Linked DNA regions of Callithrix jacchus. The protein of the gene in region 1 interacts with the protein of each later gene in a biochemical or structural test. Links are inferred from orthologs where the notes say so. Each region holds a gene or a part of one and is shown in the gene's direction. Other genes may lie near its edges.

Region 1 (3,719 bases):
CCTCAGACCTGTAACCAGCTTTGTCTTTTTTCCTTTCCTCTCTTTTAAACCATGCATTATAACTTTGAAACCAAAGCGGCCCTTAGGTCCTTCTCTGGGGTTTTGGGAAGTGAGGGGAGGGCACTTTATTCACATGCACCCTGTCTCCAGAGCAGTGGGCGAAGAGCCTACTGCTGGACTCGAGGGCACGGGGAAAGGTGCTGTTGAGCATGAGGATACAATAGTGAATGTGGACACCAGATGCTTTGGCGGGAAGGGCCGAGTGACAGGATGGGCGCACTGGTGTGGAGTGGAAGGATACCTTTGGAGCAGTAGGCTATTGAAGGCCGAAAGGAGAAACCTGGGCGGCCAAAGGGCGTAGAGCTAGAGAAACGTCGGGCTTCGATGGGAGCACTGATATGGACAGACTACGCGGGCGCTGCCCCCTAGGGCCGCCTCGACCTCCGCTCTCGGAAGAGGGGCCCCTCCCCGACGTTGCTCAGCTGGCCCCGCCCCCCCAGCCGGCCCTACTTTCCGCCCCCCCAGCCGGCCCTACTTTCCGCACCCGCCACGTGACGCTCCGCCCTCTCTGAGATCACATGATTTCACTCAAACTGCGATGTTCCTCCGCGCTGGCGTAGTCCTTACCTCTTGGACCTCCTCTCCAGTCCCTATTGGTCTACTCATTCCTGGTACTTAAGCGTTCTGTACATCTCTCCAAACATCCGTTTTCTTTTTGAACTCTTATTTGTGGAGATCATCTCTGTCCCTTGGGTACTACTTTGTTTTGGTGTCAACGGCCGCCTTCAGCGTAGCAACGCGTTTTGTGAATAGCCGACCTTGTAATTGTCTCTGCTGTTCCTCTACGTTATTTCCGAAAGGAACTTGGGAAACCAAGTCTCATGGTTATTACCATCTCATACTCCTCTTGAGCCCCAGCTTCCTTGAGGGGGAGGTTGGGGAATAGGTTTAGAGGTATTTTCAATGAGTGAAAACCAACCGTCTTTGCTACGTCTTCTGCGTATCCCACACATTAATTCCAAAGCGATTACGCTAATGGCGTGAGGGGGAGGGTCAGTGGGTGTTGCTACGCTAGCAGCGTTAGTGCCGATGAGGTAGTGGCGTATCTTAACGGGGGGGCCGTCCTGTTAGTCGGGGGCGGGGTTGGTGAATAGGGAAGTGGCGCAAATTCGTGGATCGCTCCGCTGATTCCGCCCGCCCGTCGCCACTGTTGCCGCCGTCCCCCGTCCGGCCCCCCCCTCCCGGGTTCCCTCAGCCCAGCCCGGTCCAGCCCGGTTCTCGGGAGGATGAAGTTCGTGTACAAAGAAGAGCATCCATTCGAGAAGCGCCGCTCTGAGGGCGAGAAGATCCGAAAGAAATACCCGGACCGGGTGCCGGTGAGGACAGTAGCCTGGGCGGAGGGCGCGGGACGCTTACGCTGACGCCACAGCCTGGCCTTGGATTTGGGACGGGCAGCGGGAGGATCAGGCTGCTGGCTATGGCGGGATTGGAAGCGACCCTGAAACTGCTGTCCCTGGGACCGAGGATGAAAGGGGTGGGGTAGTGGTGGACCTGGAGTAGAGAGGGATGTAGACAGGAGAGAGAAACCTTGGCATTTGTGAGTGGAGGCCTTAAGAGAGTTTGACAGCCTGAGCTTCAAGTGGTCATCCCCCCAGCTAGTTGAGGTTGTGAGATTGAAGCACTAGTCGGCCCAGACAAGTCATCTCCATCTGATTAAGATAGTTGTTTATGGTGACGCCCTATTCGGGGGATGGATCCTGGCTATTTAAATGAACTCCAGTCAGTAAGGTCAGGATCTCTGGGACTCAGGGCTGCACCGCGTGTGCAAAGACAGATGAGTCTGGGGTAGATTTAGGTGCAAGGGTTATTGTTACTTGAGTTCTTGACAGGTGCAGCTGCGGGGCTGCATTCCTCTGCCTCCTCATTTTCATCCTCTCTTTATCAGGTGATAGTAGAAAAGGCTCCCAAAGCTCGGATAGGAGACCTGGACAAAAAGAAATACCTGGTGCCTTCTGATCTCACAGGTGGGAACCTGACCCAAGACCCAGGCTTGCTTCCTGTGGGTGGGAGTGCAGTCTCTGCAGGAGGAGGCTCCACCTAGCAGCTGTTCTTTTGAGGGCATTTTTGACCTCTCTGACTTTCTCACACCTTGTATCTTTTGCAGTTGGTCAGTTCTACTTCTTGATCCGGAAGCGAATTCATCTCCGAGCTGAGGATGCCTTGTTTTTCTTTGTCAACAATGTCATTCCACCCACCAGTGCCACAATGGGTCAACTTTACCAGGTACGGTGACTTGGAAGTGGTGGAGGCTTTGGAGAAGCCTCTGGAAGAGCGTGAGCGGAAGAAAGTGTTGTTACATCAGTAGTTTTGCACTAGCTTCCTGACTTGCCTTAAAATTTCATGATAGCAGTGGGTTGGGGGTTTGAACAGAACAGTAGGAGTAGAGAGACGCAAAGAGAACAGTGAGCTAGAGGAACTTTCTGATCAGGACTCTTCCCAGTCCTCCTCCCCTTTCCAGAGCAGCAGACAACCGTTTAAGGTCTTTTTGCCCAGGACTGCAGAGATTATACTGCTTATGCTAGTCCTTGGAGTCAGTGAAGGAGTCGGGCACTGGTTTGTGGTTCTAGAAGACCATAAACTGGTTTGGGTGGTGGTTGGTTGAAGTAAGTTAGGAGCCCAGTTGCTGAACAGTTTTCTGCTTTCATCTCAGGAACACCATGAAGAAGACTTCTTTCTGTACATTGCCTATAGTGACGAAAGTGTCTACGGTCTGTGAAGCTGCTGCCCTTGAGCTGGAGGGGGCTCTCATTCTACAAAGAGAGAGGTGGCCCCCCTTTCTTGACTTCTTCCTCCTTCAAGCTCAAATACCACCTCCCTTATTCAGGACCGGCACTTCTTAATGTTTGAGGCTCTCTCTCCAGCCTCTCTTAGGAGGGGTAATGGTGGAGTTGGCATCTTGTACCTCTCCCTTCTCCTTTTTTCCCCTTTCTCTGCCGGCCTTTCCCATTCTGCTTTAGACTCTTGATTGTCAGTCTCTGTCACATCTAGTGATTGTTTTGGTTTCTGTTCCCTTTCTGACTGCCCAAGGGGCTCAAAACCCCAGCAATCCCTTCCTTTCACTACCTTCTTTTTTGGGGGTAGTTGGAAGGGACTGAAATTGTCGGGGGAAGGTAAGAGGCACATCAATAAAGAAGAAACCACCAAGCTGAGCTGAATTTTGCCTTGTGTTGCTCCCCTCCTCCCGCTGTTTTTTAGTCTTTCCAAGGCGTCAGTGGGTTTCAGTGGTGGGGAAAGAAGAGTAATGGGTACAAGCTGGAGGGATAGAAGTATATTTTGATTTATTCTGTTCATGTTGAGCTTTTCCCGGTCTGCAAAGAGAGGGTGATTTTGTTGTAATGGAATGGAATACTGAGTATCATTTCATAAAACTTTAGTTTTATGACACATATGTGAAACTAAATGTTAAATATGCTTATGTAAAAAATACTGTTCGAAAGTACCTGCTTTAGGTGGACATTTATTAGAACATTTTAATTAAGATATTTTCATGTGTAGGAGCTGGTAAAACGGCTGTTCTCAGTTGTATGTCACTTGGCTAGAGTTTTGCCGGCGAGTGGGATCCGGAGGAGTGGAATCAGGGAGGGAGAAGACTGGGAGGAGGGAGCCATTATCGCCAGGAGTACTTCATCTCCCAGTGATCATTTCTCCCGCAGGCCGGA
Region 2 (4,177 bases), about 87 Mb from region 1:
AGGCCCTATTTTCCTGCCTCAAATCTCTAATACTTGGTTTTGATGATTTAGCTGTTGATCAACGCATATATTAAATAGTTTTGTAAAGCATAGACTATACTGTGTATTAATTCAAGGAACGTCAGGGCATGTATGAATGCTGAAGTCTGAGAATCATGTGCTTTTGTACAGAACAAAGTCTGTTGAAATGTTTTGAGTTAAAATTCTCCCTAAAACTTCTCTACGAAAGCAATTGCAGAGTCTGTTAACTGATTTGTAGAATGGCAGTGAAAGAGGCTGTATTTGGCCGGGCGCGGTGGCTCACGCCTGTAATCCCAGCACTTTGGGAGGCCGAGGTGGGTGGATCACGAGGTCAAGATATTGAGACCATCCTGGTCAACATGGTGAAACCCCGTCTCTACTAAAGATACAAAAACTTAGGCCGGCATGGTGGTGCATGCCTGTAATCCCAGCTACTCAGGAGGCTGAGGCAGGAGAATTGCCTGAACCCAGGAGGCGGAGGTTGCGGTGAGCCGAGATCGTGCCATTGCACTCCAGCCTGGGTAACAAGAGCTAAACTCCATCTCAAAAAAAAAAAGAAAGAGGCTGTATTATTCAATTTGAACACACTTACATTTGCAGCTTAATGAAAATACTCTTGCTCTGCAGAGATGAAATGTTAGTGAGAGCAGCAAATCATCTATTTGTATATGCTCAATTTGCATATTTGAGGCCATCTATTAATACTGCTCTTTAGGACCTCAACCTAACCATCTAAGACATTCTTGTTAAATGAGACCAATATACATCATTTAATATTGAAAATATTAATACTCTTCAGAACCTCTCAAAAAATAAAAATTAAAAATTGGAAGCTTTGTAACGTTTTGCAGTTTTAAAAAAAATACTTGGTTTCAAATTAGCGGGTGCCTCATTTATCATAAATTATAAAAGAGAATCTAACAATTATTGATTACATTCTAGGCACGGGGTAGTGATTTATTAATTATTCTTCTAATAAAAAAATACACATATTTAAGCATCCTATGTAACATATCATTCAACCCCACAAAACCCTGTAAAATATTGGCAGGGCGCAGTGGCTCACGCCTGTAATCCCAGCACTTTGAGAGGCCGAAGGAGGAGGATCATTTGAGCCCCCAGTAGTTCGAGACCAGCCTGGCAACAATAGTGAGACCTCGTTCTTCACCATCAAATCCCGGAGTATTAATTTCTACTTCTGTTAGAGCAGGCAACGAAAGGAAAGCTCGCGATATTTCACAAACTACTACTCCCAACATGCAAAGCGGTTTCCTTCCTCGGTCTTGGCCCGGCTGTCCGAGAGCCCCAGCAGGCCTCGGGGCGCGAAAGGCAACCCGGGAACCGTAGTTCTCCAGGGCGCCTAGCGGGATCGCCAGCGCGGCAGTGGGGCTTCCGCGGCTCCCAGCCAGCGGGTCCTGTGAACGCGAGCAGAGGCGGAGAAAGGGCGCGGAAGTGAGAGAGGGTGAGTCAGCCACTGTCTACGCGATAAAGGGAGGCCTCACCGCGGGGTAGGCAGAATTCAGGAGTCAGGTCCGTGCCGCAGTCTGTTCCAGGAAGCGGCTTGTGTTAGCGTCAGCGAGGGAAGGGTGAGGAGGAGCCAGAGCCGGGTCCTGCAGCCGTTCTCGCCTTCAGCGCCCGTCGCCATCTCCATCATGCAGTCCCGGGAGGACGCCCCGCGCTCTCGCCGCCTCGCCAGTCCCCGCGGTGGGAGGCGGCCCAAGAGGATTTCCAAGCCCTCGGTTTCGGCCTTTTTCACGGGCCCAGAGGAATTAAAGGACACGGCCCATTCTGCAGCCCTCCTGGCCCAGCTCAAGTCCTTCTACGACGCGCGGCTGCTGTGCGATGTGACCATCGAGGTGGTAACGCCCGGCAGCGGGCCCGGCACGGGTCGCCTCTTTTCCTGCAACCGCAACGTGCTGGCAGCTGCGTGTCCCTACTTCAAGAGCATGTTCACAGGTGGCATGTACGAGAGCCAGCAGGCCAGCGTGACCATGCACGACGTGGACGCCGAGTCCTTCGAGGTGCTGGTGGACTATTGCTACACGGGTCGTGTGTCGCTCAGTGAGGCCAACGTGCAGCGCCTGTACGCGGCCTCGGACATGCTGCAGCTGGAGTACGTGCGGGAAGCCTGTGCCTCCTTCTTAGCCCGACGCCTGGACCTGACCAACTGCACCGCCATCCTCAAGTTTGCAGACGCCTTTGACCATCACAAGCTGAGGTCTCAGGCCCAGTCCTATATAGCTCACAACTTCAAGCAGCTCAGCCGAATGGGTTCGATTCGGGAGGAGACTCTAGCAGATCTGACCCTGGCCCAGCTGCTGGCTGTTCTGCGCCTGGATAGTCTGGACGTGGAGAGTGAGCGGACAGTGTGCCACGTAGCAGTGCAGTGGCTGGAGGCTGCTCCTAAAGAGCGGGGTCCCAGTGCTGCAGAAGTCTTCAAGTGCGTGCGCTGGACGCACTTCACTGAGGAAGATCAGGACTACTTAGAAGGGCTGCTGAGCAAGTCCTTAGTGAGGAAGTACTGCCTGGGCGTTGTTGAAGGGGCCCTGCAGATGCGCTATGGCGACCTGCTGTACAAGTCTCTGGTGCCAGTGCCAAACAGCAGCAGCAGCAGCGGCAGCAGCGGCAGCAGCAGCAGCAGCAGTGGCAGCAGCAGCAGCAACAGCAGCAACAACAACTCTGTTGTACCTGCAGCAGAAAATCCACCTCAGAGGCTGGGTATGTGTGCCAAGGAGATGGTGATCTTCTTTGGACACCCCAGAGATCCGTTTCTCTGCTATGACCCTTACTCGGGGGACATTTACACAATGCCGTCACCTTTAACCAGCTTTGCTCACACTAAGACTATCACCTCCTCAGCTGTCTGTGTCTCCCCAGATCATGACATCTACCTAGCTGCCCAGCCCAGGAAAGACCTCTGGGTGTATAAACCAGCTCAGAATAGTTGGCAGCAACTTGCAGATCGCTTGCTGTGTCGCGAGGGCATGGATGTGGCATACCTCAATGGCTACATCTACATTTTGGGGGGACGAGACCCTATTACTGGAGTTAAATTGAAGGAAGTGGAATGCTACAGTGTTCAGAGAAACCAGTGGGCATTGGTGGCTCCTGTCCCTCATTCCTTCTATTCTTTTGAACTCATAGTGGTTCAGAACTATCTTTATGCTGTCAACAGTAAGCGCATGCTCTGCTATGATCCTAGCCACAATATGTGGCTAAACTGTGCTTCTCTTAAACGCAGTGACTTTCAGGAAGCGTGTGTCTTCAATGATGAAATCTATTGTATCTGTGACATCCCAGTCATGAAGGTCTACAACCCAGCTAGGGGAGAATGGAGGCGGATTAGTAATATTCCTTTGGATTCAGAAACTCACAACTACCAGATTGTCAATCATGAGCAAAAGTTGCTGCTCATCACTTCTACAACCCCACAATGGAAAAAGAACCGAGTGACAGTGTATGAGTATGATACTAGGGAAGATCAGTGGATTAATATAGGTACCATGTTAGGCCTTTTGCAGTTTGACTCTGGCTTTATTTGCCTTTGTGCTCGAGTTTATCCTTCCTGCCTCGAACCTGGTCAGAGTTTCATTACTGAGGAAGATGATGCACGGAGTGAGTCTAGTACTGAATGGGACTTAGATGGATTCAGTGAACTGGACTCTGAGTCAGGAAGTTCAAGTTCTTTTTCAGATGATGAAGTCTGGGTGCAGGTAGCACCTCAGCGAAATGCACAGGATCAGCAGGGCTCTTTGTAAATAGTATTTTGAGACACTAAGATGTTTCTACTGCTATGGAATGTATGTTAAAAAGATATCCTCTCTTTTTCTTGGGAAAAAAAGGTTGATTACGACCACAGATTTGGTTTAGAAAGGGTAACATTTTGAAATACTACAGGGTTTAAACAGTCCCTGAAACCAACCCGTTTAATAATTTACTGTGCTGAAAGTCCAAAATTAAAATATGCAAACAAGAACTATATAATTGGTTGGGATGCTTGGTAGGCTTTTTCCTGGTTCAGGTATTCATCCCACAGTGGACTGTTTTGATTAGTGGGCTTATTTTTTTTTTAATTCAGTCTTCTGTTAATTTTTAAGTTTTCTTTAGTGCCACAAAGAATTTATCTTTTAAATCTGTATAATAGAAAACTGGACTA

What was found.
Region 2: the proteins of GABARAP (region 1) and kelch repeat and BTB domain-containing protein 7 form a complex in vitro, tested with the Homo sapiens proteins (2 studies listed by BioGRID and IntAct, with this or other methods). The link is inferred for Callithrix jacchus from reciprocal best matches to the Homo sapiens genes GABARAP and KBTBD7.

Annotation. Positions count from the first base shown.
Region 1 is NC_133506.1:73,732,785-73,736,503, reverse strand, and holds GABARAP (gamma-aminobutyric acid receptor-associated protein), read left to right. Parts: upstream 1-1,163; 5' UTR 1,164-1,286; coding exon 1,287-1,376; intron 1,377-1,945; coding exon 1,946-2,024; intron 2,025-2,164; coding exon 2,165-2,283; intron 2,284-2,710; coding exon 2,711-2,776; 3' UTR 2,777-3,204; downstream 3,205-3,719. UniProt on the Homo sapiens protein: Ubiquitin-like modifier that plays a role in intracellular transport of GABA(A) receptors and its interaction with the cytoskeleton.
Region 2 is NC_133506.1:160,346,428-160,350,604, reverse strand, and holds the start of kelch repeat and BTB domain-containing protein 7, read left to right. Parts: upstream 1-1,374; 5' UTR 1,375-1,673; coding exon 1,674-3,779; 3' UTR 3,780-4,177. UniProt on the Homo sapiens protein: As part of the CUL3(KBTBD6/7) E3 ubiquitin ligase complex functions as a substrate adapter for the RAC1 guanine exchange factor (GEF) TIAM1, mediating its 'Lys-48' ubiquitination and proteasomal degradation.